Diceros bicornis minor: one gene and its partner. The protein of the gene in region 2 interacts with the protein of the main gene of each other region in a pairwise test. Links are inferred from orthologs where the notes say so. Each region holds a gene or a part of one and is shown on either strand. Other genes may lie near its edges. The genes, in order: CYGB and DDI1.

Region 1 (12,720 bases), on a different chromosome or scaffold from region 2:
TTGCTTCTTGCCTCCTTTCCAAGCCGGACACACCCTTCAAGCCCTGCTCCAGTCACAGCCCAGAGGGTAAGAGCGTCAGTTCTGGAATCACGGGGTCCGGGCGTGGCGGTGTGTGACCTTGGGCAAGTTATTTAACTTTTCTGAGCCTCAGTTTCCTATCCATGAAATGGCATCATTGTTCCTATCTTGTTGTGAGTCGTTGTGGCTTGTTGCAAGGAGTAAATGAAAAACTGCACGTGGAGGTCTCAGCACAGTGTGGACATGCCGGCTCAGTAAATGCCGCCCTTTATTATGATACAGTTAGAGCTCTCTTTAGAAACAAAGTAACGGTCACCCAGCCAAGGAAGGGAAGAAATGAGCCTCAGTCCTTCTCCCAGCTCAGTCTCTTCCCTCTTCACTACCCTGCTTCCCTCCTCAGCCCACAGCAACTATGGAGCGGTTCATTTAATTAAAGATCTCGATTGATTTTACCTACTGTATATCTCACCTCTTGAACAAGTCTGTGCACTTCTTGGGGCAGACCCTGGTCTTTCTAGCTCTACTCCTCCCCTCTCCAGTTTATCTGAAACTGTCTAATTCCCCCAAAATATCACTTTCATTAGGTCACTCTCTCACGAACATTCAGGTGCTCCCCATTGTCTACGTCAAAGTCAAAACTCCTGAACCTGGGAGTCCAGGCCTCTTACAAACTGTCCCACACCCACTTCTCCAACCTCAGGTCCACACTCTCCCCTACACTCAACCCATCTCGCTCCAGCACAACAGCCTCACTCACCATTGGCAAAACATTCCTCGGGCGTGCCAGCCTTCCCTTCCACATGGTGGAATGCCTTCCTCACTCTTCCCCGTGTCAGCCTTGCCTCTCCCTGAGCGCCCAAGCTGGCCCAGGGCTACTGCTTTCCCTCGAAGGCCGTTAGTGGGTTCCCTGCCACCATTTACTGCTTCCTCCCCTTCTGCCTGTCGGACTGGTTGTGAGACCCAGCAGAGCCCCCGCACCCTCTGACCCATCACCCCGGCCCAGGGCCCTGCAGTCTGCAGGATGACGTTGATGACATTTGCACTCCCTCTCCCAGCCGGGGCTGGATGTCACGGAAGGTCCACACAGACTCAATCAGAACTTACCGAACTTAACTGAAGCCTCAGAAAATGTATGAAGTGTCTTGGACCTGTTTTTTCAGGTTGTTTCACACCTTTGGAGTGACCCCCTTTGTGATACCAGAGAGAGCTGATAATTTGCCAAAACAGCCCCTTGGCCAGCATTCGAGTCTCAGATCTGAGAGCTGGAACAGATGCAGAAAGAGCATCTGGCCCAGGCCATGCCTTTGGGTGATGAAGCTGTTGCTGGCAGGGGGGTGCGACCAGGACACAGTGCGTGTGGAGACCCGGGAGGGCCCCTCTAGGAGGCCCAGTGTGACCTCCTCTGCAAACCACTTCACAGCCTCCTGTCTGCTGAAGTGCGAGAGAAGTCCCTCCCGCTCGCTATTTCACAGGTATACTGGTGAGGACAAATGAGGTGATGAGTCTGAAAATACACTGGATTTTCTGGAGAAGCACTGTAATGAAGGACAAATGTGAGAAACCCAATCTGGACTTAAATGAGGATCTCAGACTTCAGGGGTTTTACACTGCAGTAAAAATACTGATTTCTACTTGCCTGGTGCGTTAAAATGCGCAGAGCATCTCTACCTGTTATTTCATGTAATTGCCACGACTAAGCAGGTACTATATCCATTGTACTGGTGAGGGAAGAACTGGGAATACTTACTGAGCACTTAGTATGTGATCTCATTCATCCTCACAATACTCTCCTAAGGTTGGCACTGCTTTATCTCTGCATTCTGGATTAGGAGTCGATGCCCAAGGTTGCCTAGCACAGTAGGTGGTGGGGCCAGGAAGGAGCCCAGACCGTCCTTGCTCTGCCGGCTTCCCGCCAGTGAGTCTCCTGCCCCAACACCAGTGCCGGGTCATGGTGCTGAGGAATGACAGGCCCAGGAAGCCCCTCTTCTGGACCAGGGGAGTCTAGGGGCCATGTGATCTGCTCTTTCATCCTGGCTTCTCTCCCAGCCCCTCCATGTTTACTCCTGACCCTCCCAGGCCAGGCCTGTGTTGCCAGGGAGAAGCCTCAGCAGCCAGCCCTGGAGTTCCTAAGCTCCCAGAGGCATGTGGGCTTCCAGGAGAGTCTGAAATAGGCTTGTCTGTGTGTGAGGGGGAAGGCAGCAGAGTTACAACTGGGAAGGGAGCCTTCCTCCAGCATGGGTGTTCCCTCTCGGTCTCCTCCCTGACAGGAAGTAGAGGTGTGGGGTCTGGCTCAGACCCAGAGGCAGCTCCTCCACCAGCACTACCACCGTTGTGGCTGCTAACTCCTCACTGTGTGTGTGTGTGGGGGGGGGTGAGGCTGGCATGAGCCCAGCGGGGAGGGAGGAGGTAAGAGTCAGAGGGCTTGTGTCTCAGGCCTGTCCTTGTGGATGTGTGTGAGGATAGGAGGGAGTCGTGACAAAACTGAGGGGCAGAGGACCTGAGAAGCTTATCTGTCCTTCCCTTACCCCTGCTTTAACACCCCCCGTCCCAACTGGCCAGGTCCTGGGACAGACAGCAGGAGGAGGAGAAAGAGGAAAGGAAGGCTGGTGGGACTTGGGGCTGGCAGGGAGAAGCAGCTGTGGGCCGGGTTCTCCCTCGCTGGGCTGGGCTGGGCTCGGCCAACACAGAGGTGGGGTCAGGTGAAGTGTGAGGTTATCAGCTAGCCAGATCTAATTGATATCTCAGGCCCAATGCCTCCCCCAGCCCACACCCAGCCCCTTCTAAGAGTCAGGAAAGGGGAGCCAGAGGGGCACAGAGAGAGAAGGAAAACCTGCCGAAAGCTCAGACTCTCCAGAAATGGCTCTGCCCTCGGTGTTCAGGTCCTTCCTTTGTAACCCCCATTCCTGGGGAGGTTGGGGGGTGCCCCAGGAGCTGGATCTTGGACACATCCCCTACATGTCCTCATTGGCAAACGACAGGGGTTGGGACGGAAAATCTCCCAGGTCTGTGGACTCTGCTTCATTTCCTCTTGGCGACCTGTGTGTGCACCCTGGTGTATCCCGAGGCCTGGTGGGCCCGTGTGTGCCGACACACAGCTGAGAACAGCCCTCCAGGGATGCAGTCTGGCGCATCCGTGACTCCACTACCCACCGTGAGCTTGTGTGGGTGCTCGCACGTGCAGATCTGCGTCTCCGAATGTCTGATGGCTTCGGGATCTGAAATCCCCTCTTAGCTTCCCCATCATCCCTGGCTGTGTTTCTGGGCCTGGGAGCTGTGGAAATAGCTGCCCCTTCCTCAGGAATCCTCCTCAAAATCCTCAAGACTGCTTCTTGCTCTTTTTCCTCCAAAATCTGTTTCTAAGTTAGAATCAGGGCATATCAATACGGAGCTGGGTAAAAGGGAGAGAGAGTACCGGGGAGAAAGAGGAGCCAGAGACGGGCCAGGCCTGGGAGACACGCATGCACTTCAGCTGTCCTTTCCACAAGCGAGGTTTCACCCTGTCTTCAGATAGTAAGATTGCCCTGCTCTGTCCTAGATTTGACAGCTTCCCTCCACCAAGGACAAGGGGTTGAGAGTGAGTGTGGTCTGGGGCCTCTCTGCCTGCACCCCCAGGGACCAGCACGTGTGGGAAGAGAGCATGGATCTGTAGCTCTAGTCAGCTACTAGCTTGTGGGGCTTGGTGACATTAACTACATAGGAATGGTATACGTGCACCAGTGTGCAGGTGTGAATAACAATGTGTGTGTGCGTCTCTTGGGGGCATCTGGTGCCTGAATGACCCCTGAGCCCAAGACACATGTCCTTTCGTCTCCAGGTGGGGCTTTCAGGGTGGAGCCCTGTCTCCTGAAGCATCTCCCTTTCCCTCCACCAAACTCAGCACAGATTGTATCCTAGGGACTGTTTGCTTCTCCACTCACCTGTGCCCGGCTTGGGAGCACCCTGCTGGTCCACCCCCTTGGGGCAGGAAGCGGCCAGGTGGGAAACTGGACCTCAGCCATCTACTCCTTCTGACCTCCATTCTCTCCCCCTTTGCTCTGTTCTTCCAAGGGGCTTTGAATACGGAAAGAGGCTGAGCTGGAGAGAGGGGTCTGCTCCTCTTTGTCCGCCTTCTTGGCTGAGCCTCAGTTTTCCTGTCTCTAAAATGGGGAACCCCCACTGCCCCCATGTGAAGGGCTGGTAAAATGTGTGTCCATAACAGCTTGGCTGGGGTCGCTGGTGGGGAAGGCATGGCTGCCTGAGCTCAGAGTTCTAAGGCCGAGGAGAGGAGGGGGACGGAGGTGCCTTCCTTTTGCGTCTGGCTCCTAGTTCCTGGTGAGCCCCGCGCCCAGAGCTAGGAAGGGCTCAGCTAGGGTTTCGCCCACCCGAAGGCGCCCCACGCTGCCTGCACCCCTGCCAGCCCGGCCCCAATCACAGCTGAGGAGGTGGCGCCGGAGCTCGGATGGGGCCGAGCCCGCCCCTGCCCGGAGCCGCTGCCGCCCTCCCTCCCCCGGGCCCGGCTAAGCCGGGGCGACACCTACCTTACCAGGATGGCCACCCCCACGTCCTCGCAGTTGGCATAGAGCCGGGCCCACGTAGCCTGCACCGCCTTCCTCTCCGCCTCGGACAGCTCCTCGCTCCGCTCCCTGCGCTCAATCTCCATCTCGCCCGGCACTTTCTCCATGAGCAGCTCCAAGCCCAGCCCGGCTTCGCTCGGCGGCGGCGGGGCGCGGAGCGCGGGGCGCGAGGAGCCGGGGCCGGCTGCGTGCGCGGCGGGCGGGCGGGCGAGCGAGGGGTAGAGCGCGCCGGAGGGAGGGAGCGTGTCTGTCTGTGCGCGCCGGGTGTGTGTGTGTGTGTGTGTGTGTGTGTGTGTGTGTGTGTGCAGGGTATATGTGCCGGGGGGCGGGGGACCGCGAGCGGGGGGCGGGGATGTGGTCTGCTGGAAAAATGTTAAAAAAAATAAATCCGCTCCAAACCCCCAACCCCGCGTCCGTGAGCCAATTCTGGCAAGGTGAAGACTGGGCGGGGTGGGGGCGACGCGGCTGGCGCCCGCCCACCCGCAAGGCCACCGCGGAGTTTGAGCGCCGGGCGGGGCTGGGGCGTAGGTGTGGCGGGTGTCCTGGGGGGTCTCGGGAGGAGGGGGCTGTCACGCGGAGCGGGGCGGCGCGGGCCGCACAGGAGTGCGCCCCGGCGGGTGCGAATCTGGGGGCACCGTGTCCAGGCTCACGCTGCGGGCAGTGTCGGGGCGTGTGCGTGTGTGCACCCTTCACGCGGCGGGGAACTGACTCAAAGTCAAACACTCCCAGGCATCTGCGGCGTGGCCGCCCGCCCGAGGGGGCGGCCGCGAGCCCCTCCAGCGGCGCCGCGGTCCGAGCGGAGCTCCCGCTCGCTCTCCGTCTCCCCGGAGCCAGCCGCTGGGGGCCGCGGCGCCGCTCCCAGAGTTCTGGACCCCAGGCTCTGGAGAGTTTAGGACTGGGGTCGTCTCTCTCCTGGAGTGTCCCTGTTCCAGTACCTTACTAGAACCCACCGCTGAGAGGATGGGAGAGTCGAACTTGAGCGCCAGAGGCCTGCGCCCCCCTTTCCTTCCGGCCAGCACCCCTTCCCGCTCGGTGCACGCACATGGCGTCGGAAAGAAGTCCCCGGGTGGCTTATTAACGACACGGGCAGGCAAAAAACAGGCGCTGCCCCGAAATTCTGGCCCTGGTGAAGCAAAGTCCAAAGGAGGCAGCCGGGCAGGGCAAAGCGGACCTGGGAGGGTCAAGAAGTCTGGGGGAGGCCCAGGCCGCTGGAGACATCTCAATCACCAAGGCCCCGATTAGGGAGGGGTTCTGGGGATGGAGGAGACAAATTCTTGTCCTAGTGGCCCTGCTCAGAGAGGTGTCAGCGGGATAGGACCAGAGGTGGGGACTATGCCTCTGAGAGCCACAAGGTTCCCGCTCTGCAAGCAGCTGCGCAGTACTGGGAAAGCCCAGTGCCACCTCTGCCTCCCAGTGAAGCCTGATGCTGGACCAGGGCTGCAGCATCTGGAACATGTGGGTGTGTCCAGTTCTCACTAAGGCTCCCTGGTGACCCTGCCCTTCTCAAGACTTTGTGTCCCTCTGCTCAAGTTCTCCAAGAGGTTGGCCCTCCTCTTCAGCTTTGGTTTATGTGTTTATTTTAAAAATCACATTTCAAAGTAGAGAGCCCCAGCGCAGGCCCTCCCTGGAGCTCGGGGTTCAGGTTCCTTACTGGAATCCTGGGCAGAAGGCCTCTTGACACTGCCTCCATCTTAGCTGAGGGCAGGAAAATCTAATGCCTTCTTCTGGGAGTCTTGAGGGGGCATGGAGGACAGTGGGTGGGTTCAGTTTCTTACATCACTCTCAGACCCATGTCCTCGTGCTTGTCCCCGGCTGCTATTGCCGCCTGGGCCAAGACTGAACACACCGTGCTGGGCCACTTCACAAAACTCCTCTGATAGTTTCCCAAAGCCAGTGCAGTGGCCTTCCAAATTGCTGCCCAAGAGGTTCCACTGGGATGTGGAAAGTAGCAGAAATCTTATTTCTATTTACTTTCATCTCATCCTTTACCAGGTTTATGTATGTCTATGGTGCAGGACTGTATTTTCACATTAGTACAGTACATATTTACAAGTGGATGCATATATCTATTTCATGAGTGACTTTTACTGAAGAGGGTGTGTAATCAGAAACATTTGGAGAGAAATGTCCAGAGTATAGATCTGAACTTAGCCATCCTTTTACTCCCTGGCCTCCCTTGTCTTTCTGGCTTCATCAGCTAATATTCTTCCCCTGTCCTCCTCCCCACCCCCCATGCCTCCTGTGACATCATTGCTCTGCTGCCACTCAACTTCCAGTTGCTGGAACATGCCCTGCTGTCTGCAGCCCTGGCAGAGTCTTCTGTCTGACCACCCAGCCTCCTTTGAGCAGCTGCAAATTCAGATGCCCCCAGCTCCTCTTTGAAGGTTCCGCTGATGCTTGCAATGCCCAAAGTGCTCTGCAGGTGCCTTTAATTGCCTCAGTCACTCTATTGTGGTCATCCCTTTAACTTGCCAGTGCACTTGTCTAGACTATAAGCCCCCTAAGGGCCAGGCTCAGGTCTTAGCCATATCTACATCCAGAATAGACTGAGGTTGATTTACCCTGCCACAGAGGAGGACAACCTGGGCCCAGTGAGGTTAATCAGTCTTCACAAGGTCAGGTCTGCTGACCCCACTAATCAGCTTGAGCCTCCTAATCCACTGCCAGCAGGAACCTCAGGACACACAGTAGTGGCTTGGGAGAGCTGGCAGGGGCCATTTTGGCCTTCTTCTGCAGACTTGGTCTGGGAGGGGATGGGGCAGCTGAGCCATGTGCACCACCCTCTTCCTGCTTAGCACCTTGGCCATGCTCTGGCGCCGCAGATTCGCCAACCGGGTCCAACCGTGAGAAACTGACTAGGCCATGGGCTGGGGTTGGGGGAGAACTACTAGGCTGGGCTACAGCAGAGCTGAAGGTGGGCAGGCGCTGCCTGGACCTCCAGGGAGGCTGGGAGGGATTTGCAAGGAATCCCTGAGGGGCTCCCCCACAGAGTAGGGGGAACTTGGAGCTCTTCAAAGACACTGGCTGCAGTCTCCAGTCCCATAGCCCAATGTGGCTAGGTCTTGCCAAAAAGCAGGAGAGGGGATTTGGGGTCTGGGCACTGCCCACAGTTCTTCCTGCCTGTTCTTCCCTCCCACAGAGAGCCCAGTGGAGTGAAGGAGGCAGTTAGGGGCAGCAGCTTGGAAAGAGACCTCCAGTCCTCAGGCAGGTAAGGCAGAGGCGAGTCTGGGGTGGAGGAGGGAGGGTGCTACCAAAGAGGCTGCCGCTGTCCCCTGGCCCTGTCCGTGATGAGCAGGGGTGTGTGTGTGCTGTATGCTAGCCCTCGCCCCAGCCACGCTGTTCCCTGTATGCCTGGTGGGCAGGCTGACTGTGTTCTCCAGTTGGGAATGGGAGCCCCCAGCCTCTCTGGACCAAAGCTGCTCTGCTTTGCTTGTCCAGGTGCAGGGTGGTCCCCAAGGTTCCTTCTGTCAGAAGGTGCAGGGGCAGTGGAGAGAGGGATGAGGCAGACGCAGCTCAGCGTTGCTTTGCTCGCCTTCCCTCCCCCGTCCCTCTCTCGCTGTCTCCGCCCAGCCTCAGCGGCTCCACTGCCTGAGCCTCCAGCGGGATTCGCTGTCCAGTCCCCAATAGGAGGCGCAGGAGGAGCATGACATCATCGGCTCTGAGCGCCATTGGCTGGGCAGCCCCTGGGGCAGGACACTGTCTCCAGCAGCCAGAAAGTTAACTCTTCCCTAGGCTGAAGCCATGTGGCCTTTACAAGGGGTGAAGTTTTGGGAACTTCCAGACTTTTCTTTCCCTGGATGACCAGTGTCCTTTGATGATAGGGGCTCTTATGCCTCAAAAAACACTGAAAAATCAACAAATATTTATTAAGAACATACTGTTTGAAATGTTCTTTTGTGCCTACGGACCCACCTACTGCCGGAGCCCTATCTGAAGAGTGACATTCTCTCCTGTGGGAGCGTCTACTAGTCCCCTGGCACTGCTTCTCTCGCTCCTAGTGAAACAGAGTGTGACACCCTCGGGCTGCAGGGCCCCTGGAAGGAGGGTGTCTCCGGGCTCAGAAGGCTGAGACAGTCAGCATGCATGCATGCCCGTGCACTCCCATGTCTCTTTCAGGGTGTGGAACCTGCCTGCGATATGGCCCTTAGCTATGTGGAGACCTGGTGAGCTGAGAGAAGCTGAGGCTTTCTCTGTGTCTTGGCCCCTGATTTCTCAGGGGCCAAGTCCGGGGTCCACCAGGTTCCGAATGTCAGAAGGCCCACGGGGAAGCGGTGGGCATGTGCGGGGAACAGAGGCATTTCTGTCATGCCCTTCCTCCACATTTAGGCTAGCTGAGATGGTCACAAAAGTGCCTAATGACTACTATTGGTGAAATGGGCTGGCATATACAAAATGATCATCACTAGGCCTCCCACAGAGGAGGCCCTCAAATGCTCACTGGTCCTCACTGTTGAGTTTGGATCTAGAGTTGGGCAGCCAGTGTTTAAATCCTGGCTCCCCTCTTACTAACTGAGAGACTTGGGGCAAATCATGTAATCTATTTACTTGTATTAAACTGGGATTAATAATAGAGTGGTTGTGAGGTGTCTGTGAGGTTTAAATGAGAGAATGGTTGTAAGCACTGGGCACAGAGCAACTGCTCAGTGCAGGCGAGTTCTCCCGTTGGAATCTGACACATGATCAGTCTTTATTCACCCCCAGATGTTTCTCATATATTAACTCACTGGGAAGTCGCAATAGCCTCAGAAGGTTGGCAGGATAAGTGTTTCTTTGTTTTTTTTTGTGAGGAAGATCAGCCCTGAGCTAACATCCACGCCAATCCTCCTCATTTTGCTGAGGAAGACCGGCCCTGAGCTAACATCTATTGCCAATCCTCCTCCTTTTTTTCCCTGTTTCTCCCCAAAGCCCCAGTAGATAGTTGTATGTCATAGTTGCATATCCTTCTAGTTGCTGTGTGGGACGCTGCCTCAGCATGGCCGGACAAGCGGTGCGTCGGTGTGCGCCCAGGATCTGAACCCGGGCCGCCAGTAGGGATTGCGAGCACTTAACCGCTAAGAGAGCACTTAACCGCTAAGCCATGGGGCTGGCCCCAGGACAAGTGTTTCTATCTCTTATTAATGGTGGAGGATACTGAGGGACAGGGAGACGTAAATTTCTTGCTCAAGGTCATCCATCCGGTTTGTGGCTGTTATGGGACTGACAGGCCCCTGATTCCAGGCAGTCCATCTCCTCTAGGTGAAATGGGCCTGGACCTCCTGTCAGGAGAGGAAAGGCCGAATCTGGGACCATCTGGCCAGGCCTGGCCTGGTATGGCCTAGCCAGAAGGAAGCAGATGCCTATTAACTCCTTGGAACCCAGTTAACCCAAAGAACTGGCCTAACATCTCACATCTCCTGCTGATGGCGGCTGCCACGGAAGGCTGGCCCAGGGTGGGGGTAGGGGTGAAAATTCTGCTAATTCCACAGTCAGAAATTCCAACTGTATGGTTTCTTGGGTGTTCCTGCCTGTCAGTAGTGGGGTGAACTGCTAGGCATGGGGTGGGAGGAAGAAGTCCGGAAATACAGGAAGGTCATCCCCTCCAATCCTCTGACTCTTGTGCATTTCTCTGTTTAGGGAGAAAGACACTCTGAAATAAGCCGTCACCTCTTCAGGCGGAGCTCAGCCCAAAGATGGGAATCAGCTGGCCAAGGCAGGTAGGGCCAGGCCGTGAGCCCTGGAGGGCAGAGGGCAGAGCTGGGGACAAAGAAGGAAGAATATGCAAGGCCTGGCCACGTGGGAGCAAAGCAGGCTGTCTTCAGCTCTGTGGTCATGGACAGAGGTTAGGAGAGGGAGGTGGACTCCTTCCATGAGCTCCTGCCTTGAGCCTGTTCTGTTCCAGGCCTCAGGACCAGGGTGAGTTTTAGGAGCACCACGTGTGATCTTTATAGCATTTTCTAGACTTGGGGATGAAGTGGTGGTCATTCTGGGGGCCCGAGGCAGTGCTAGAAGACTTCCAAAGGAGAGGTGGTGTTCTGGAATGTCCACTCTGCAATACCAGCCCCTACCTTGGCATGGGAGAAAGTGCCGATCTGGTCTGGTTTTCTGTTTCAGCTCAAGTACTAGTTTTCCCCCTATCCCAGAAAGATGCTGTGGTGGAAGAGGCAGCAGCAAGAGGGAGAATGGGAAAAGCAGCAATCGAGAAGGTACTTTCCTAACCTCAGCCCCTGGACCTGCCAGTCCTCACTTCTCCCCAAGCCCTGGCTGTGGGGCTCCTGAGGCAAGGCCTGGCCAGGAGGGGCAGAGATGCTCATTGCTCTGGGATGGGCTGCCATCCTCTGAGTTCTTGAGGCTCATCTGAGGCAGGCCCAGAGAGAGGGACTCGGTGGGGTGCACCTGGTTAACTCTGGGGCAGCCCATCAGCCAGGCTGGGGTAGGAACAAACCTGGGTGAGGGGACTCCAGAATCGAGGGGCAGCTCATGTTGACTAAGGAGGGACTTCCCATTCATTCTCTAATTTAATCCTCACAATAACCCCAGAGACGGGGCATATTACCCACATTTTAGAAAGGAGAAACAGAGACAGAGGTTAACTAACTTGCCCAGCGTCACGTAGCTAGTAAGTGGGGGACCCCAGGCTCATATGGAGGCTGCAGAGCCCTTGTTCTTACCCTGAAACCACCTGGAAGTTTGCAGGTGAGAGAAGGGGTTTCACTGGCTTGGCCGCCTGTCTCTGACAGCTCAGGAGCTGTACTGTTAAACCTCAGCTGTGGTCCGGGCAGTGTGGAGTCAGACCGCTTGCCATGCTGGCACACACTTCCTGTGGCATCTACCTCCCCCACCCTCGTCCCCAGAGCTCACTCTGTCACTGGCTGCTCTGCTGAAATTATCAATAAGAAATGCCAGTTGGATCTGTGACATGTCTGCCTGCGGCTGGATGGAAGCAACCCACAGCTTGTCCTGTGTTTTCTGTGTGTATGTGCGTGCGTGCGTGTGTTCCAAATAGGCAGTAGCATGTGGGAAGGGAAAAAGCATGACGCTTGTTTTTGTCAGTCTGCTGACTGCTCAGTAACGGTGGCGGTGGCGGCGCAGCCTCTTTTGCCCCCAGCTGCTCTGCCATTTCTCTCTCTTTACAATCCTGCCCGATCCTGAGCAGAGATAAAAGCAGATTTCCGCTTCTGCTCCCTGAGATCCAGGCGCAGACCCTGCAGGCAGCTGCTCCTGACTGTCTCACAGTCATTCATCTTCCAGAGCCCTCATCCCCACATGCGCGTGCATCTCTCCTCCCCTTCCAGCCCGCTCTACCCACTCAGCGGCGAGGTCTCTGCCTGGCTGGCCCCTGCCCCTGACTTTCAGGAAGCAGGAGATGGAGGAATTCTCTAGACAGCAGCACCTCAGCCACCACTCCACGTCTGAGGGAAGGAAGGAAAGGGTGAGATGCAGATCGAGGGAACCCACTCTGAAGCCATGGGGAGGGGCTGCTGATCCCGCAGGGAGCCTGGCAGTTCCGTGGGAGCCTCTCAAAGTAGGGCAGGGCGGAGGCAGGGGAAGGGTCGCACCAGGGGAAGGAGCTCTGTGCTGGAACCATGTCCAAGCCCCATTGCCTACTTGACATGGGCCATGAGTTTGTGACCACCTGTCTCAGCTCCCGTCAGTCTGTCTTTCTTCCGGGAGGCGTGGGCCTTCGTGGTGACAGGACTGTCAGGCTGAGGGCCAGAGGGCACTGTTCCCGAGACCCAGTCTCTGTCCCCTGATCTTATCTTTGCATTCATTCTCTAATCTATTTGCCATGTTCCTGTCACTTCATCCTTGCCTCTGCTCTCTGCCATTTCCAAGTTGCCTGTCTCCTTCCACTGGTCTGAGGAATAGTCAGGCCAAGGTCACCTAGCTGTACTGGGGCTGGCTCACAGCCCAGACACACATCCACAAAGTGACACCCCTTTGCAGCACTGTTCTAAGAACCTGCTCAGGAGATGGTGGCTCCTCCAAGGATCCATTCCCGGTGAAGGGAGGGAGAGCAAGAGGAAGGGGCTGCTGGTGACAGGGGGATGTGTCTGCCCAGGCTTGGAGGCTGCCGGGCGCTGGCAGCTGGGGTGCCATGTGGGCTAGGAGGGAGGGGCTCTCTCCCTCAGGGAGCAGGCTGGCTTTGGTGGGAGCAGATTGTGTTTACACC
Region 2 (11,511 bases):
CTCCCCCCTTTTATGAAAACTTGTGACCAAACTCTCCATCATCAGTACACAGCTTAATCACCGATAAGAGCAAGCATTCAAGTTAATGAAATTTTATAACAATTTTGAACTGGTACCTAGGATTAAAATGTGTCAGGTAAAGAGGTTACATAGTGGAAAGAACTTGAAATCAGAAAGACTTGAATTCAGCAATCTGGTAGGTCAGTCAGTGTTTTTCTAATTGTGGATCAGGATACCTTGGTGGGATACAATTAGTGGGACCTGCCTATTATATTTTTTAAATAATAAAATATAATTTTTCAAAGTACTAGACCAGGAAGGATAAAACATTTCATATTATTTCAATGTTTTTGTTTTCAATGCTTTTTGTTTCAGAGACAGACAGACTTGTGTATGTGCATGTGTTTGTGTGTGTGATATGAAAATGGTTCACAATCTAAAATGTAGATTGTTGTCAAGAAAAAATTTTAAAAACACTAAGCTTTGAATATTTGAATGTTTCCTAGTAATTCTGAGCTCTGAATTTCCCATCTATAAAATGGAGTTAATGATAGCTACTTTGAGGGTCTATTCTGAGGATTAATAGCAGTAATATATGTACCTTGTATAGCATCTGATTTACATAGCGGACATACAAAAGATATTGCCTTTTACTAAACCTAATCCATTTAAAATTTAATTGATTAGGATCTATTCAGGTATACACAGGATTGAGTTAAGACTTTAAATCCATGAAACTAATTTTTAAAGTACTTTCTGATATGAGATACAATGACCTTAAAATATTAATCAGTAAGGGCATTGCTTAATTAATTTACTGTTTATTGATTTTTCTTTGAAATCATTGTTCTTCAATTCAATAAAATTGTTTTTAATTTCCCAAGCTTTTCACTCAAGTAATATTTTTATAAGCTGGAATATGTCCAAAGGAATATGACAGAAATTTTTAGGTGATTCCAAACTTATCCTATGAGGAACAGTTAAAGAATTTGGTTAAAGCCTATAAAAGAGAATATTTAAGATGACATCGATTTCATATATTAAAAGGATTGACTCATGCCAGAGAAATTAAACGTGTTCTTGGCGGAAGGAAGAGTGAAGACATTTATTGGAAGTTATGGAATAATAGAGTTCAGCTCAAAATAAGAAAAAAGAGTTATACCTGAGACTGGTCTTAAAACATTATAGCTACCTTAGAACAGATGTTCTTCTGAGACGGGAGAGTGTGTATGGTCAGATTTGATATTGTGCAAATTGTCTTTTAGTTTAAAGATTCAGTGATTTTTAGAGTGGCTTTTATGGGTTAGATATCTTGTTAAGCCACATACTAAACTTTTATGTGACATATGCAAATAAGATGTGTTTTGCATAAATGGGCCTTAAAATTGAGTCCAGTAGAAGATGCTGAGGAGTTTGCATATTTTTATCTGTGAAGGAATCCATGCATTTATCAGTCAGTTCTCTAATCCCAGGCATTTAATTGCTTTTCCCTGGCTTTAGTCTGAATTTCTTCTTTCATTTTGTTAACTACATTTGTCCTGAGTACTTAATTAGAAAGAAAAGTGGAAAAGAGGTCTGTCCATTGGTCATTTATAGCAGCTCTACTGGGTGTAAGCCTTGGTGCAAGTGTAGACAAGGTTGAGGAATGCAAGCATAGGAACACCTGTAAGGAAGAAGAGAATTGGGAGGTGAACTGATGATGGCTGGAGGGGAAGAGGTGACTCTCTTTAGAAAGAAGATGATTAGTCTCTCCAAGAAGCAGACCAAGAAAGGGATATGGTGATTATAGGGGAGGATTTTTTCTTTTTTCTGTGGGATATCCTAGATCACAATGTAGTCTTAGTAGCTGAAAATAGCTCTCCCCTCTGAAACAATTTATAGATGAGAAATCTAAGTTGTATAATATATGAACTGATTTGCCTAAGTAATTTAGAGCTAGAATCAGAACATACATTTCTTGACTTTGAATCTACTGTTCTTTCTAATACCAGTCTTGACAGATTATTGCCCTGAAACATGTTCTCTGACTCTGATTTCCTCAGGCAGCTGGACCTTTTGTCTCAGGTGTTTTACATAGGTTGTAATTAAGTCTAGGATCTTCTATTTCACACTATCAGTAGTAATGGAGAGTAGCTTTGTTGGAGTGGGTCTCTAAGGCATGAATGAGGCCTTAGAGATCTTCTCTTGGAGAAGTTTCCAATGTTATTTTAACAGTGAAACCCTCTGTTCAAACAATATTTATGTAGCAGCTTAATATATAAAGCAGATTTTTTTCTTTTTTTTCAAAAAAAGGAGATGATCTAGTTGAAATGAGTATTGGGGGACCTGGACCACTGCCTGCCCCTTCTTCCCACTCCCACCACAATACAACCACGAGGCTTTCAAGAAGCACCATAATTTAAAGAAAAAAATCTACTTGACTGCCTTCGTTTTACAACCAGGATTTCTTTGAATGCAAGAGAAAGAGGAAATTATTTTAGGACATACTAGGAGAAAAATCCATTTTCTCAAATACGGCAAAAATAGTTTTTAGGGGCAGATTGCAGTGAGCATGACTCCAGAGGAGTGCAGGGGAAGGAAAGATCTAAAATATGAGGAAATTGGCCCTTAAGATGTCGAAAACAGACATTTATAAGTACTGCATTAATCAATTCAAGAGTATAATTGACCCACCATTTTTAGTACTTTTCCCAAAGAAAACAAAATCTGTGAAAATAGACACATTTCTCTGAATATAAATGTTAGTGCTGACTTGAAACTGTTTTGTGTAGATGTCTTGTAGGGTCTGCAGCAACGGCTTTTTCTGGGGAATTCTGCAAAATAGCAACTGGTTTGGGCAAGCCACCCTATAATCTGATAGGACAGTGTTTCTAAAGGAAGAGGCTGCTTTTCCTTTCATGGATTATCTGGAAATCAGTTGGAGCCTCCAGAGCCTTCCCAAGATGAGGTTCAATGATCTTTGGGTAAGGGGAATGGAAGAGGGGCCAAGATCAAGCAATCTCGATTGACATAGTGACAGATCTGAGAACTTAGACCCAAGGCCAGGTTACTTGTTACTGATGTTTTTAATGATTACATTGCCAGTGAGCTCATGTCTTATAATTTCCTGGGACCTGAGACTCCCTCAAAGTGGTGGTATGTTTATAACCTGTCTCAATGCTTTTTTCTTCCTGAATCCATGACTGAATGTTTAATAGTATCTGCTGCTTCTTTATTTGAAGACTCTTCTTGCCTAGCACCACTTAGCAGCTTAGCACATAGGGGTAACTCTCCCTCAGGAAGAAAGTGAGTCTGTGTGCCAGTGGTGCCGATCACCAACACGTTTTTCTTCAAGTCAATGGAACATTGATGTCTCCTGAGCATGTCTAGCCCTAGAAGCATGTCCATGGGCTGATCCTCGAGGATAGAGAAAGAGCATTGTAAGAAATCACCTTCGATTTGAATCTGAGCTAGATGAACTCGGCCAATAATCCTCTGCGTGCCTACTCCTTTAGCAATCCCAGCCCACCGTCGATCCACCAGGCGTATTATATTACATCTCTCGGCGCAAGCTTGGCTCATAATGGTCATCTGGGCCCCCGAGTCAACAAAAGCCTTCAAAGGATGTCCATTCACTTTGCAGTTAATATAGAGCATGGCCACTTGCCCGAAACTCTCTGGAGCCTCTTCCATCGCTATATTCATGTTTTCCTCAATGTTCTGCTGCCGGATTTCCTCTTCTATTTTGGCCTGAGCTTCCAAATCAAATGGGTCAGCAGAACAGAGGCGAAGCCTCTCTTGCTCTCTCAGGGCCCTTTCCCTTTGCTGCTCCATCAGGACCTGAGAAAACGTCTCCAGGTTTCCGCTGAGCAGGGCTTCCGCTAAGGGGGGGTTGCGTTCCTTCAGCAGGGACAGATCGTGGGGATTGGAGAGCAGCATGCTTCGGATCAGGGTGGGGCTGTCCAGACCTTGAGCAGACATCTTCTCTCCGGAGTCCAGGCCAGGGGACTTCTGGGCCGACTGTGCACGCTGGTGCTGCTGCCGGGAGCTGGACGTCCCAGGCTCAGCTATCCCGGTGAAATCAATCCGAGGCAGGCTTGATGTCCGTCCACAAGGCCGAGGTCCCACATACTCCTTCTGAAGCAAAACAACGACATCGCCATCTTTGAGGCCATAGGAGCCCAGGGAACAGTGGTCGTCAGCGAGGAGTCGCTCCATGTAGATGATCTGGATCTCTTCAGCGGGGACACCAGACTCGAGCTCACAGAGGACGCGGAAGCTGTGGAGCTCCAAGTCAGGGCTGACCTGGAGGGAGAAGGTTACCTCGGAGAGGTCCCTCCGCACGCAGTACACAGTGACCAGCATGGCATGGGCTTAGGAGGGCCAGATGGGCAGAGGGCATGGATTCTTCACTGGCTGACTGGAGCTGGTCTTTATTGATGGCTCAGTTGCTCCTCAACACTTGGTGCCTTGTTGTGGTTCATTCACCTCTCCAGGAAGCACAGCCGCTCACCAGTCTGGGGGCCGCTTGCCAGCCTCAGTGCCTGCTGCCTGGCCCTGTGGAACCTTGAGGTAACATGTTGTGTTCCAAAGTTAATTTGTATGTGTGCTGTTTGGAACTTAGAACGCCCAGTCCCATAGAAACGAAGTTACTCGAGTCCTTTAGGTTCCAAGGCTAGCCCTTCAAAACCTATTTAACCTGTCATATGAAAAGGATGATTTCAACTCTTCCTAAACAACATATTAACATTCATTTTGTTCATTTGAGAATGGTATCCTACATACTTTTACTTACTCTCCAAACAGTGAGTGTTGTTTCCTAGATGGCAATTATCATGCTATGTGCTTGGTATGAAAGATGGGGCAGACTGGGTGCCTACCCTTGAGGAGCTCACATTCTAGGGAGGGACCGATGGTAAATGGGTAAATCACAATACTGGAGGTAAGTGCTTTTACAAAGACACGTTAAGCGAAACAACAGAACAGAGGACGTTTCTCTAAAGAGGAGACACAGTGGATGTTGACAAATGAGCATTTTCTGTGAAAAATGATGAGTCACCCCAGACAAAAAGAACTGCATGTACAAAAGCAAGAATTCATGACACAGGCTATTATTTCCAGAGAAAAGTGAGACATTCAATGGAACAGGAGAAATTTGTACATGAATTTGATTGGCAAGATATGAAGCTGGAAAAATTGATTGGAGCCAGTTTATAGAAAGAGTAATATGAATCCAAGGAATTTAAATATTATCAATAAGCAAAAATCCCTTCTCAAAAAAAAAAAAAGGAGAGAAGAAAAAGAGAAAGGAAAGGAAATGGCAAAGATTTAAAGCAGGTACTTGTAATGTTTATTTTTTTCATTTAATTGATTTAAGGAAGATGCTTCTTGAGACATATGGAGGACATATAGTGGCAGGAGAGACAGGTAGAGACTTTCTCAATGGCTCAAAGAGGGAGCTGTTGCTAGAATTTGAAAATATAAGGAAGACTAAAGCCAAACCAGTAGAGAAGAAAAATGTTTCTTGAGTAGAATGGAAAGGATGTGTTTACCCATTGGATGTGGGGAGTATAAAAGAAGCAGAATGTGTGGATAACACAGCGAGTCTCTAAAATGAGAGATTGGTTAAAAATAAGCCATTACCTTACATGGATGTGTGAGATGAACCTTTGAGGAGACCAATTTGACATTAGTTCTGTAGTAAAATGTATGATGAATGCCACCCTGGAGACCAGATATGCCTCGCTCTCTAGCCCTAGGGCACAGCCCCTCACACACACACACACACACACACACAGACACAAACACACACACACACACACACACTTCAGAGTGGAGACTTGCCAAGTAAGTGTAAAGAGGTCCTTCAGGGCAGATGGTGACTGGGTAGAAATCCTTGAGTGCCAGTTGTTTATATTTCACCAAGTGTTACGCACTGTAAAGAGCTCACGGTTCCCTGGCTTGGTCTTCCCAGGCATATTTTCATATGAACCAAGATAGTCAACCTCCTCTGCCTCATCCCCTCTCTTTATTTCAAGTTTTGTCAGAAGACCTGCACCATTACTTAGAGAAGGGTGTTGCATTAGCCTAAAGAATTTTTTTTTTTTTTTGGCTCCTGGTTCTCATGTGTTTGTCTCAGATGGAAGACCATATCTCACTCATTGCTGTAATTATCATAATGTTTCCATACCGTGTTCATTTATATTGAAAATATTGACTGAATGCCCAGTGTGTGTGAGACATGTACTATGTTCTGGGGATACACACAGGAATAATGTTAAGTACAGGCTGTGTTCTTAAAGGAGCTCACAGTCTAAAAGGACACACACACACCTGCGTGCACACACACACACACACACGAATTGGGGGTTAAAAAATTCCACAGAAGCCAACACAATTTGGGAGAAATGTCTGAAGAACAAAAGAAGATGGAGAGGGCTGGAGGGCAGGGAGGGCTTCCTAAAAGAGTTGGGCTTAAAAAGATGACAAGAAGTCAGCCGTGTGGGGGTGAGTGGGTGAAGAAACAAAGGCTGAGAAGAGGATAGCCTAGTTGAGAGTCTTTAACTGGAAAGGCAGCATGTCATGATATGGAGGACCTTATAAAATTTTAGGGGAAAAAATGTAGCATTGTAGTTTTACTGTAAAGAATTATGAATTATTTAGAGCTGTTTTTTACTATTTATAGAGATGGATGGCACTTTGACCCCAAAATATTAAGTTAATAAATTTCTTTTGTGGTTCTTAGCATCCTGGTGAGTTCATCAGAGATCAATAATGGTTTTTCCTGAGTTTGGGAAAAACTATAATGTGAGACATGTCACATGCAAACTACTCTGCTAAAGAATAGATGAGAAGCCAGGGAGGCTTACATTTATCTTCCTTCCCCCACTCCCCCAAGTAGCTCTGGACAGTTCGTTCTTACAATCTTAATAAATTAGGGAGATATACTAGGGTTTTTGTTTTTTTTAAACAGTGGATGAAATTATTTTTGTAGAATAAGCTTTTTTTTTTTTTTTGGCAAAGCAAGAATTCAAGGCTCACATCAAAAGAAACTAACCTCTTTTTTTGTGTATTACCGTTGCCTTGATACTGAACATAATTAAGCTTTATGTGGTATGTTTTATTATCTTGCTATAAATCTTTACTTTTGGTGGCATTTTGCATTTATGTGCTTTTAACTATTTTATACTTTACTGAGAACATAGAAAGCAAAAAGCCTCCAAGTTTGGCCAATTAACTGTCATGGTGCTATAGATCACAGGATGTGAGGATTGGCAGGGGTCCTTCGGATTCTCTGGTCTAGCCATCCACCCACGCCTTAAACCTCTGTTGCGAAACAGCCTGGAATCTGAAAAGATAAACACAGCCTCCTGGGACTGTTTAGTACAAATGTTCATATATTGTTTGAGTCTTTCATTTTACCTAAGACTATTGGTGATTCAAATACCATATGTGTAATTCTCTTACCTCAATATTTTAATTAAAAACCTCTTCTGATTATGTAATAAACTTGGGGCTCATTGGGAGCATATATAAATACTCTTAAATATAAAATGTTGTTACGCCATTATTCCTTACTGCACAGACCACTGAGAATTATCTAGGTGTGCTAATCTAGGTAACAGAAGGTGATTGCAACTTTTCTTGAGTTTTTTGTGAAGTATATTCCCTTACTTTTCTTCCTTGGTAAGTACAAAATAGGAACGTAATTGAATCTTTCTTTGATAAGTGAGACTCTTGCAAGGTCTCAGGGCTATCACTCAGAAAATCAATTCTATTGTATAGCCTAAATACCCAGAAAATAGAAAAGATGACATTGATTTCATACTGGCCAAGTAAATAACCCCAAAGTTATTTTTAGAATAAACCCACAATAATAGTTTTTATAATTTGCCTCTTTATAAAAACTCACTGGGGCAAAAAATAATCCATATAATTGATGATCCCACTTAGTATAGTCAGTTGTTGTTTAAAATACTGTCTCTTGCTTTACAGAGCAAAATAAATGGCTTTTCTGTGAAAAAAGAGTAGCTACATAGATGTCATTATGTAGCATATACAATAATTAAACCACATTAAGCAAATATATTAGCTTGCTGTGTTTGGATTCCTTCCTAATGTGCCTGGTATTACGTTTAAAATAAAGTGTAATCGAGACTTATTAAGATACTTAAATCATCATTTGATATTTTTCAATGCAGCTTAGGAAAGATGCAGACTTTTTAAAGCTGTGTTCATAGATTAAACAACTAATTTTCTCACTGTTCTTCCATTTGCTTTATAAAAATATGATAAATTGTGCCAGAACTGTCATGAATGAATAAACATTTATTTCTTCAGATAGTTAATTATTTAATAGACACATTAAAAATGCTCTAATGAAAGTTCAAGCTTTTTTAGTATGTTTAGAGGTTTCCCATATGAAAAGGTTTAGTATTGCCCGTCTTTGAAGCGTAAAGGCCATGATAAGACCTCTCATACAAATATATAAACAGATGTGTAATTGAAGAAGCTTATGAGACCTGAGAATTTAGTCTGTATCTACCTGCTGACAACTCAGCTAGCCGTTTTTCTTCGTCTTAAGGAGACAGAATATGGACAGAAGACCCATATGCACACACACGCATGCACTCACATGTGGAGAGAGAGAGCGAGCAAGTGCACACTCAGGACATGTTTTCAATTACTTTGAAAGTGCAATGAAAAGATTATGTCATTTTCCAGCAGGGAATATTTTTATGGTGCATTTTGTTTATTGCTTTAATTTATAGATTATCGTTTTAACATTTTATCATAAAAAGAGATGCATTTTACGTTATATATGGCGTGTTGGAAATAACATAATCTCTTGATATCTTTTGGTGTTTTCAAAATATATACTTTCCAAGTCTGTACATACGTGGGTTATACATTCACGTGTATAATCTCTTGATAACTTTTGGCTTTTTCAAAATATGTAAGTCTAATATTCCAAGTCTAAATATACATGTGTGTGTATTTGCTTATTTTTAAGAATGTTTGCTGCTACAGTTTTGTGCCTTATGGGCCCTTCCAATGTCCGAATCATATAAAAATTGATGTGTGAAACACACACCTTGCTGTTGAAGTTTTGGAGATTACTTATAATTTGTGAGAGAAACATTTATAGATTAAATGAATTTAGTGTAATAAATTAAAAACAAGATAAAAACGATTTATGACTTTGTGTGTTGTCAGTTACTTGGTTCTTAATTTTCAGTGTCCCTTAGAAAACGAATGTTTTCATTTTCCCATTCCTGTTATGTGGAGAATAGCCATGTAACACAAAATAGTAATAGTAATGATAATAGGGCCTTATGTTTTAAATTCCACTGTGATTGAGGATCATTATTCAAACCGTTTTTTATTGTTTACTCTTTTATAGTAACGTAATCAACTCATTTCAAAATCACTGCCACTAGTTTAGAAATACCAATGTGACCTATGCATAAGTTCAATTACACTTTAATAACTTCAACGTAAATTTTCTTTGTCAGAATACTAATGCTTGTTCTATATGAATTCATCATTACATTTAGGTAATTGTATATTATTCTGAAAATGAGAAAATTAGCTGGTTCTTTCCAGGTGGTATTAATATTCAATCAACAAAGTATTACTTTTTAAACCTCTTATAGGTGTCTATCTCTTCTAGGGTAGTTGGTAGAAAAGTCATATATTTCTGAGCATAATTCCTAAACTTCCAAGAACAATGATGTATATTAGACCAAAATATCAACTAGAGGACGATGCAAGGAGGTTTGCAAGTCAGCACCTTTATTAAATCTTTCTTATACTTTTGTTTTAGAAATAATATCTTTATTTCATTAAAACTATTTGCATGAGATTTTTCCTCCATTAGTTTTTTTTGATGTCAGATGCCTTATCATATTCAACCTTGAAACCTCCAAATTTCCTAACACAGGGTCTTGATCATGATGTATAACCAAAAATGTTTGAATGAATGGCAAAATAACAACAGACCTACCCACTGGACAAGAGTCCACATAAAAGAGTAGCACTGAAATCCTAGTCTTCATGAGTCCCTTCTCACTGCTGCCAGGAAGATGCTGCTATGGTTTGAAACCACTGTTTGTATTTGTTTTATTTAGTTCTAATTTACTTGTGATTTCTGTGGTTTTCCACTTTGTCCTTCCTATATTGTCATTCCTAGTGGGAAATCAGTGGAGGGCAATATCATTCTTTGGAAGTGTCTTGGCTTGGTTTCATTAATTGCCCAGAAGTATATGTATTTGGAAAGTTATAGACTTGTTTAATATTTCTATAATTAGTTAAGTTTTTTACCATTTGGAGATGAGCTCAGAAACATGTTAATAATTTTTCATGGTAAATATTTAATGACCACTTCCTATGAGCAAGTCAATGGATGAAGGGCCTCGGGGACAGAAGGATGAATAGGAATCACTTTCCTCCTTCAAAGAACGAGATATTGACCAGGGCAGATAAGACTCGTGCACTTGGAATTATTTTATGTAACAGAAATAAATAAGAGTCATGATAGATGTGTAAAGAAAATGCTGTGCTTGCTTAGAAGAGATAAAAGTAACTTGTTGGAGGAGGGGAGTACAGGGAGTGGATGGGACTGTGCAGAATGCTCACTACAGGAAGTGCCACTGCATGGAGCCGGGAAGAATGATTTGGTCACAGCTGTAGTTAAATTTTACCTACCTGGGTTTGGAGGAACAATCCTTTCCTTGACGTATCATAACACTCACTCAACTCCTTTCTCCTCACACAAACGTACATTTTACTTTTCATTTTTAACTTGCAGATGCTATAACCAAATGCACGCGGTAGGATGGTAGGATTGGTGCAGGGAAAGAATAGTAGTCTAGCCTTCCTAAAAAGCAGTCTTCTCAACCCCCAAATTCACACAGGCACCCACACAGACTCAAACAGAATGAATGCACGTGATTCTTTCTGCTACAGAGCCTGACTAGTTGAGTTAAGAAGCAGTCTTTGTTTCATGAGGGAAAGCCTATGCAATACGAATTGAAATCTGCATAGGTCTTTTTCTCAGTTCACCTTCATCTGCTTTAGAGTTAGTGAAGATTCCTCCAAGACTTTGACATTACATTGCCCATCAGTCTTAGCTTATGTTACTCTCAAGTCTGTGGAGATATTTTATTAGAAAATGACTAGAAGCTACATCAGGAACTTCCAAAAGTCCTTGTGAGTGCTTTTAATATGAGTGTATATAATTAGTGGCTATCATACTTTAATTTGAAAGTAGGTGTTGATGGAACTACACACGTATCTACGATACAAGGCAAAAGTTTCTGAAAGTAGCCAATTTCCGTATTATCTGTGCACATTCACCTCTAACACGTGAAACTTCTAACTCTAGGGTACAGGGTAATAGCATGCAGTTTGCCCAAACCGGAAGGATCTGATGCCTCCAGCCACTAGCCAAGCCCCCCTAAAAGCTAGTTACATGACAATCAGTTTATTTATGGTGACACTTTGGGTTCAACTGTCTTTGCAGCACGGATG

What was found.
Region 1: the proteins of DDI1 (region 2) and CYGB interact in binary tests that used the Homo sapiens proteins (3 or more experiments, as listed by UniProt). The two-hybrid records come from large-scale screens. The link is inferred for Diceros bicornis minor from reciprocal best matches to the Homo sapiens genes DDI1 and CYGB.

What each region holds. Positions count from the first base shown.
Region 1 is NC_080757.1:56,812,760-56,825,479, forward strand, and holds the start of CYGB (cytoglobin), read right to left. Parts: upstream 4,808-12,720; 5' UTR 4,679-4,807; coding exon 4,536-4,678; intron 1-4,535. Other genes in the region: photoreceptor disk component PRCD, read left to right, coding at 7,341-7,414, 7,711-7,779, 8,142-8,163. UniProt on the Homo sapiens protein: Probable multifunctional globin with a hexacoordinated heme iron required for the catalysis of various reactions depending on redox condition of the cell as well as oxygen availability.
Region 2 is NC_080746.1:31,215,135-31,226,645, forward strand, and holds DDI1 (protein DDI1 homolog 1), read right to left. Parts: upstream 4,345-11,511; coding exon 3,154-4,344; downstream 1-3,153. UniProt on the Homo sapiens protein: Probable aspartic protease. Seems to act as a proteasomal shuttle which links the proteasome and replication fork proteins like RTF2. Required, with DDI2, for cellular survival following replication stress.